Nothobranchius furzeri: one gene and its partner. The protein of the gene in region 2 purifies or fractionates together with the protein of the main gene of each other region. This does not show direct contact. Links are inferred from orthologs where the notes say so. Each region holds a gene or a part of one and is shown on either strand. Other genes may lie near its edges.

Evidence for each region. Proteins that work in one complex are often made in the same cells at the same time.
Region 1: the proteins of ppp2cab (region 2) and sike1 purify together in Homo sapiens (affinity purification with mass spectrometry; 4 studies listed by BioGRID and IntAct, with this or other methods). This does not show direct contact. The link is inferred for Nothobranchius furzeri from reciprocal best matches to the Homo sapiens genes PPP2CA and SIKE1.

Annotation. Positions count from the first base shown.
Region 1 is NC_091755.1:53,138,388-53,142,636, forward strand, and holds sike1 (suppressor of IKBKE 1), read left to right. Parts: upstream 1-1,354; 5' UTR 1,355-1,499; coding exon 1,500-1,658; intron 1,659-1,956; coding exon 1,957-2,062; intron 2,063-2,144; coding exon 2,145-2,287; intron 2,288-2,382; coding exon 2,383-2,496; intron 2,497-2,893; coding exon 2,894-3,016; 3' UTR 3,017-3,847; downstream 3,848-4,249. Other genes in the region: micos10 (MICOS complex subunit MIC10), read left to right, coding at 4,215-4,249.
Region 2 is NC_091750.1:60,013,358-60,016,684, forward strand, and holds the end of ppp2cab (serine/threonine-protein phosphatase 2A catalytic subunit alpha isoform), read right to left. Parts: intron 2,124-3,327; coding exon 1,914-2,123; intron 1,832-1,913; coding exon 1,658-1,831; intron 1,570-1,657; coding exon 1,480-1,569; intron 1,395-1,479; coding exon 1,233-1,394; intron 1,144-1,232; coding exon 1,025-1,143; intron 941-1,024; coding exon 868-940; 3' UTR 641-867; downstream 1-640. UniProt on the Homo sapiens protein: Catalytic subunit of protein phosphatase 2A (PP2A), a serine/threonine phosphatase involved in the regulation of a wide variety of enzymes, signal transduction pathways, and cellular events.

The sequences.
Region 1 (4,249 bases), on a different chromosome or scaffold from region 2:
TAAAATAAAATTATAAACGCCTCAGACTTCTAAAGAAACGTTGCTCAGGCTACAATGCCACGTATTCTTCATTTGATTTTAATAAATGGTATATTGATACTTTCGAAAAAATATAAACAAAGATGCTTTCTTTCAAGAGAAGTACGTCGTATAAATTGTTTTTTGTAATTATTTGGAAAACTTAAGAATAAACGTAAAGGTCCAGTTTAAGGTGTATCGTTAAGAAGTAGGTTGGCACATTTGCGACATCATCCAGCTGAAACAAATGCAAAAACCAAAATGGGAATTAGATCAAAACCAATTTTAAATCCGAAATTTGTCAGACGGCTAATCAAGTCCGATACAACACACATGCGCTAAAACGTGTTTGATTTCCTAACAGATCGAGGGTAAACGAAGAAAACACCGCGGCTAACGGCACGAGGATGATGGAAAACAAAGAAACTACCTACAAAGCTCGCGTCTACAAAAGTTGTGCACCAACTAGAAACGTCTTAAGTGTTAGAATGGCCAAAGTAGCATGTCTTCGGTACTTTAGACACGTCAAAGAAACGCCAGCTTGCTATTTAACCGTCGCTCGGTCGTTTGGAACGTTAGCTCGTTAGCCAGAGCACGCTGCTGTGGCCCGAGAAAAAACAAGGCATCCCCACCCAGGCCCGACTTCTGCTGTACACCGCCCGTTCGCTTTGGTGACCCCGCCTGAATTATAAAAAAATTAAATGCGAAATAAGACATTTAAATATATCTCAACGGTTTACCAAGCAGAGAAAAATAATATAAAACTCACCCCAACAGCTTTTAGCACTGTCACCAGCGCCGCTAGAAGCAGCACGGCACATTACGTAGTGATTAGGGAGACAGCTCCCGCGATATTTGACGAAGGCTAGGGAAGCCTCTGCAGCTGGCTCTGTTGTCACGCATGGGTTCATGGGAAATGATGTTCAGTTGTTTTGAAGTAAATAATCGGGCTCAACCTGGGCTCAACCGAGGTTTAAAAGGCATTAAATGCTTAATATGCAGTAAAGTATGCTATTAAATGTTAAAACGGCTTTTCCCACAGGTCTGCGCACCAGACACTCATGAAGATAGTTGGATAATGAAATTATTCAGAAAATGTCTATGCACACGGTTTCCTTGCCGAGAATGAGAAAACCAAAGGATTCGTAAACATTTTTACGTCTACGATGATACGTTTGACGGCAAGATACTTGTTTACGGTACAATCCCGGAAGTGACGCTATATTTTTTCCTCTCGAATACGAAGTTGCCAACAAAAAGAGGGATTTCTTTTGTTATACATTGTCCTGGTTTAATTAGTCATCTGTCTCTTGAGAAATGATCTAGGAGGGTCCGCTGAGATATGAATATTTGTTTGTAAAACATTTTTGTGCGTTTGAACAGCATAGCCAGCGTAAGCTACAGTACGGGCAAATTTTCGCCTGATCAAACTGGTATTTGGAAGCTTTAGTTTACAAATACGACTAGTCACTTAATAGCTAATGGCCTGTACTTTTGAAAAAGTGTTGGGGGATGCTAGGACCCTCCTGGAAAGGCTGAAAGAGCACGATACGGCTGCTGAGGGACTGATCGAGCAATCCGGGGCCCTCAGCCAGAGAGTGCAGGGCATGAGGGAGGTGGGCAATGCTCTTCCAGACAAGGTAAGATGGTCTCTCACACATAAACGTTGGGTGAAAGTATATTTATATTAGAAGGCTGACTTAAGCCATGCATTAAGGATTTGGGGTTGCAGGTAAGCTTAAAATGACACTCTTCTCTAACTCTACTCAAGTACTTAGACATTTTGAGATAGAAGGTCTGATCGTCCAAAAAAGTACACCAGCCTTTAAAAGCATATTTAAATAATGGGAATTATTTATCAAGAGGTGGAACAGTCATCCAACTAGTGCTTAAAATGTATTTTTTACTTATGACATTTTCCTTGTTGCTGCCTTTTAGCACACAGAAGACAGCTCAGAGATTCGGGAACTCACAAAATACAAGCCTCACATCCTTCTGACTCAAGAAAACACTCAAATCAAGGAATTGCAGCAAGAGAATAAAGGTAAAATCCTTACAATGTTTTTAGGTATTTTTAGAGTTCATGTGTTTGTCTGTAATTTTTGTCTTCGCCACTGTTTCCGCAGAACTATGGCTGTCCCTTGAAGAGCACCAGTACACACTAGAACTGATCATGGGTCGATATCGCAAGCAGATGCTCCAGCTGATGATGGCAAAAAAGGAGCTGGACACGAAACCAGTGCTCAGACTACACCAAGACTACGTCAAAGTACACCAACTTTCATTGTGCTGTGAACATTCCCAGTCATGTAATTTTCTGACAGAAAAAGGGGTTTGAAGTTATGCTTTCTGAATCTTATCCAGGAAGTGCAAAGCCAGGTGGAACGGATATGTGAGATGGGCCAAGTGATGAGGAGAGCCATGCAGGTGGACGATCAGCACTTCTGCTCTGTTCAAGAGAGGCTTGCTCAACTGGAGGTAAGGACTGGAATGGCAGTCGTGATGTCAGGAGTTATCATTAAGCTTTTAAAAGGCAAAATCAGTGACTCTAAGGCTTTGAAACAGCTCAGGAAATTAGCATGAGTCTACAAACACACACAAGGCTTAGTGCTGCTAGCATAAAAACTGTTGGAGTTTCTCAGGTTTTCTTGTTTGCTAGTTTCCTGGAGCGTATGGTGCAGCATTAGATTATGAATGAAAATATCTGGACACACCTGAGATCAACTTAGAAACTCTTTGAGATGACTTTCTTGACTCATTCTGGTTAAAATGTTGATTCAATAAACCAAACTCGCATAGATACAACCATCTTGCATGGACTGGTGATAACGAGTAATCTACACGAGGTTACGTTTGGTTATCCGGGCTCTTTCAGATTGAGAACAAGGAGCTTCGGGACCTTCTGGCCATCAGCCAGGCATCTGTGAAGATGGGAAATGAAGAGAGCCACCAGCCATCAACACCAGCAGCAGCAGTGCCCTCAGGCAGTGACCAATGAGTGACCCGAGCAGCTGCAGTCTGAACTGATCAGGTGGAACAACCAACCAAACAGGAAGAGCTTTTTCTTTTTTAAGCACAACCTAGATTGCAGAATAATGTTTGTAAAAGTAATTTAAATTCAACATTAAAGCCATCAGAAGCATTTAACTACCAGTGGGTATATCATTATGATAGATATCTTTATGTACAGTAGTTGTGTTTTCACTGCAGCAATGTTGGGAGTGAATTCCTCATAAACGAACGGAGTTTGACTGAGGTGCTTTGGGTATCACTGGTTTATTTTATATTTATCTAAATGCTGAAGTGAAGCTGAGGGAGATTTATTTTTGTTTAGAATGGAGAAAGGATGAGTTTAATCTTTTAAGAACATAAAAAAGTAAAATGCCCAAAAAGTAAAATGCCTCTGTTTTAAACGCTAACTTGTACACCACGTGTGATGTTGTGTTCATCGCCAAGAAAATGACTATTGGCTGTTTCACAAAACAAAATGCCTGCGCTGGAATGACAGTGGGCAGTTTTTTAAAGAGATTGTAAATTTATAAATGTACATTTTGTCTGCCATAGTTGATTGTTATGCTTACAACATGATAAATACCAGTTTTTACTCTGAATTTTTAGATTGGATTGCAGAGTAAATGTGTAATAGTTGACTGCACATCTTTCTCACGGTAACATTTTGTAAGCATTACTTTTTTGAGTGTTATGTACTTGTGCACTGTTATTTTGTCATGAACTGTAAATGTCATCTCAGGAAATTACTGTTGGTTAAGTGAACATGTTTATGGAAGTGTAATTATTTGTGTAAAATAAAACTCGTTCTGAAAACTAAGTCATATTACCTTATGGTGAAGTTTTTGTTGATAAAACACAAAAACCTTATTTTTTAATTCAGGGTTTCACCGCTAGGTGGTGATTTTAAGCTCTTCTGATTGTGACAATGAGACGTTTGGAAAAACATCGCTCCAATAACATTTAAGTGGGAAAAAGCACCAAAAAACGTTAATTTATTTCAAGGCTTCAAAGTATTTTTATCATTGTCGATTATTTGATAAGATTTCATAAATGACGTGGTGAAATAATGGGAACTGCACCGCAATTTTCTTGTTATTCTAAATTTGATTTTCACAACTTGAATATTTTCCGGGTGACCTAAACGCAGCACCAGAGTCACATACCTGGAGCGAAGCTAAGTCAGGATGTCTGAGAAGGAGCTCGGTAAAAAGTGGGACCG
Region 2 (3,327 bases):
AATAAAATTGCATTTATGCGCCTTTTATTTGAAATAACACAATTCTCAACATTAAGTTTGCTTGTTTTGGGCAATTGATACTTCTGTTCTCAATACAATCTAATATTATGGAGCACAATAATTTAAATTCACATTTAAATAAATGTATTTTTTATGTCTTCGCCTTGCTGTGTCAGTGTAATTACAACTGGCCAGAGAAATCCAAATATAACTAGACTTTTTACAAGAATGAAGAATAACCAAAAACACAATTCAAGAAGTCATCTTTATTATTCTAGTAGGTTATTATAGAGTCTGAAGCTAAAAGGAAGCAGGTGAGTTGATGAACACTCCATCTTTTCTATAAACCAAGCCATCTGACTGCATGAGAAGGGATTTTCCTAAAACATACACAGGTCAAAAAAAACTGAAGGTTTACATGCAATTTAAAAATAAACAACAAAAAAACTATCAATATCGTGAAATCGTATTAATCTTTTTGACATATTTAACATTTCTTTAACTGTACAAAAGTGCAAACAAATCACATTCAAATCTCAAAAACCATGGTCTGCAGTAGCAAATTAGTCTTGGACTTTGGTGCCGTCAACCCAGCTCCATATGTACAGGAGGAGGAGCCGAGACATCCAGGATGTTCTATTTTGTCATTTCAGATACAATAAATATTTAAGTGATCATGGCACACACCTTTTGGTCCGTTTATAGACACATTTGCTTTTGCGAAATGCTTTAACTAGATTGGATAAACACAACGTGCAACACTGCAGCCTCTCAGGCCTCCATCACGTTGTTTTCAGTTCAAAGTCAGATAGGTTGGTGGTTCTGGACAGGACCGGACCGGACCGTGCGCGGGTCGAGACTGCAGGTTTACAAGAAGTAGTCTGGGGTGCGGCGAGTTACATGGGGCTCTCCTCTGCGAGGCGCTGGATCAAACTGCAAGCTGAGGAGGAACATCAGGAAGAAAAAAAATCACAACTTATTCTAAGATTTCTTTGTCCACTCGTGATGAAATTCGCCTGCTTACAAAGAGTATTTGAGGGTGTCGTCTAGCTCCATGATGGCTGCCTGGTTTCCACAGCGATAGCAGTAGTTAGGAGCACTAAAAATGGTCACCACGTTCCTCTCATGGCACCAGTTGTAGCCCTGAGGTAAGCAGATGTAATATTAACACGCATCTGAACTTAGCGGCACTGCTTCTTTGTTTTTAATCATCTTTGGACACAAAGACAAACCTCCATGACCAGCTGATGGGCGCGGGACACCAGCGTGAGGCGGTTGGCGTGGTTGAACGTTTCAGAGATGTCCTGACCAAATGTGTAGCCAGCTCCTCGGGGAGAGATGCCCCAGCCGCCGCGGTCGTCGGGGTCTGACCACAGCAGGTCGCACATGGGACCCTGCGTGACAACGAGAATGGTCACAAACGTTTTTATCTTTATTGTTTCGTTGCTGATCTGCACCACATTTAACGTCTTTCTTTACCTCGTGCGGCACTTCCTGTAAACGATCCAGAGCTCTGATGTGATCCAGCGTGTCTATAGACGGTGATAAGCCCCCGTGGAGGCAGAAAATCTGAGGAAAAAAAATCGATAATTATAACAAATTATGATGCTTTTCAAAGAAACGTCAAGTTCGGTCTTTTTTATTACGCTCCTCTCACCTGAGAGTCTACCAGCGCAGTGAGGGGGAGGTAATCGAACAAGTCTGTGAAGTATTTCCAAACGTTTGCGTTTCCGTATTTCCTTAAGCACTCGTCGTAGAAGCCGTAGACTTGTGTGATCTGTCTGCTCTCGTGGTTCCCTCTGAGGATCGTGATGCGCTCCCGGAAGCGAACCTGAAACACAAACATCTGTTTACGTCGCGTTTTTCACCCCAAAGAGGAAAAAAAAACTGTTTTAAATGTCTGACAAAGTCACCTTAAGAGCTACAAGTAATGTGACGGTTTCTACAGAGTAGTACCCTCGGTCCACATAGTCCCCCATGAACAGGTAGTTTGTGTCCGGCGATTTCCCACCGATCTTGAACAGCTCCATGAGGTCGTGGAACTGGCCGTGCACGTCGCCACACACGGTCACTGGACATCTCACCTCCTGGACGTTGGACTCTTTGGTCAGGATCTCCTTTGCCTGCAGAAGGAAAGTTGATTAGAGAATTAAAACTTGCACAAGCCAGGCAAAGGCCACCATTTTCTTTTTGTCTTCATTCAGGCACAGCCCACTTCCTGCTAGCGCTTACAACGGCCTCCATCACGTCTCATCAGGATGCTGCACACGGAGCGGGGCTGATAGCATTTTGATGCAGCGACTAGCTTCCTGTGGGGCGACCCTGTGGTGCCCGGACGGGCAGCTCTGGCTGCACGGCAACGTTTCTAAAAATCCATAAATGTGATCCTCCGAAGATTAAAAGGCAAGTGCAGAATAAATTTTAGTGGATTTGCATAAAAGTTTTGGTTCACTTTGATGTTAATTCACATCGGATCAGACAAATTAGATTAACGTGTTAAATTCAGAAAAATAAATGTGATTCTGGATTATTAAAGCATTTTATTTTTACCCATAAATCATCAGAGGGGCCTGACTGGCTGCTGCAGAGCATGACTCAGCATGTGGCCTACAGCCAGAGCCAGAGGAAGTCACCATTAAAATAAGACAGGATTTACCACCAGTTGGCTTGATTGGTAACCTCCAGCTGTGACTGCTTTTATGTTTCCGATTGTTTTACCTTCATGGTAAATCACCCGGAATTTGGCCGTTTGCTGAGTATTTTTGTGAGCTGTGTGACCGTGGATCCCTTCACAAACCAGAGAACGAGTGTGTTCCTTGGCTGGTGGCCAGCTGATGGGATAGAAACCCAGACGGGCCAGGATGGCGCTGCAGCGTTGCACAACGTTGACCTACATTGCATCCAAACTCCACGTGTCCCGACCGGCGTGCGGCAGGAGGCTTCGGGGGCCACACTGAGCCACAAATCTCTAAAGCAAACAGAGGCACTAAGCCAGAGAAGAATATTCTAGGTGTCTGGATGAAAGTGGAACACAAACACACAGGACCCATCTTTGAATGGATGAGGCGACAGGAGATAAAGTGGATCTGTCTGGGTTCCTCATCCTAGTCAAACCGTAGACATATCTACGTCTACGAGTTCACGTCGGTGTCATGGCTCATGATGCCGTCAGCACGAAATGGAACATTAGAAAGGGATCTTTGACGCTGCCGTAGTCATGAAGACGAGCTTTAATTAAGTCCAACGTATCAGGTTCTGAGCCAAACTCGTCCATCAACACCTGCTGGAAACCCTCGGGTCGTTTCAGCTTACGGAGAAATCAGGTGA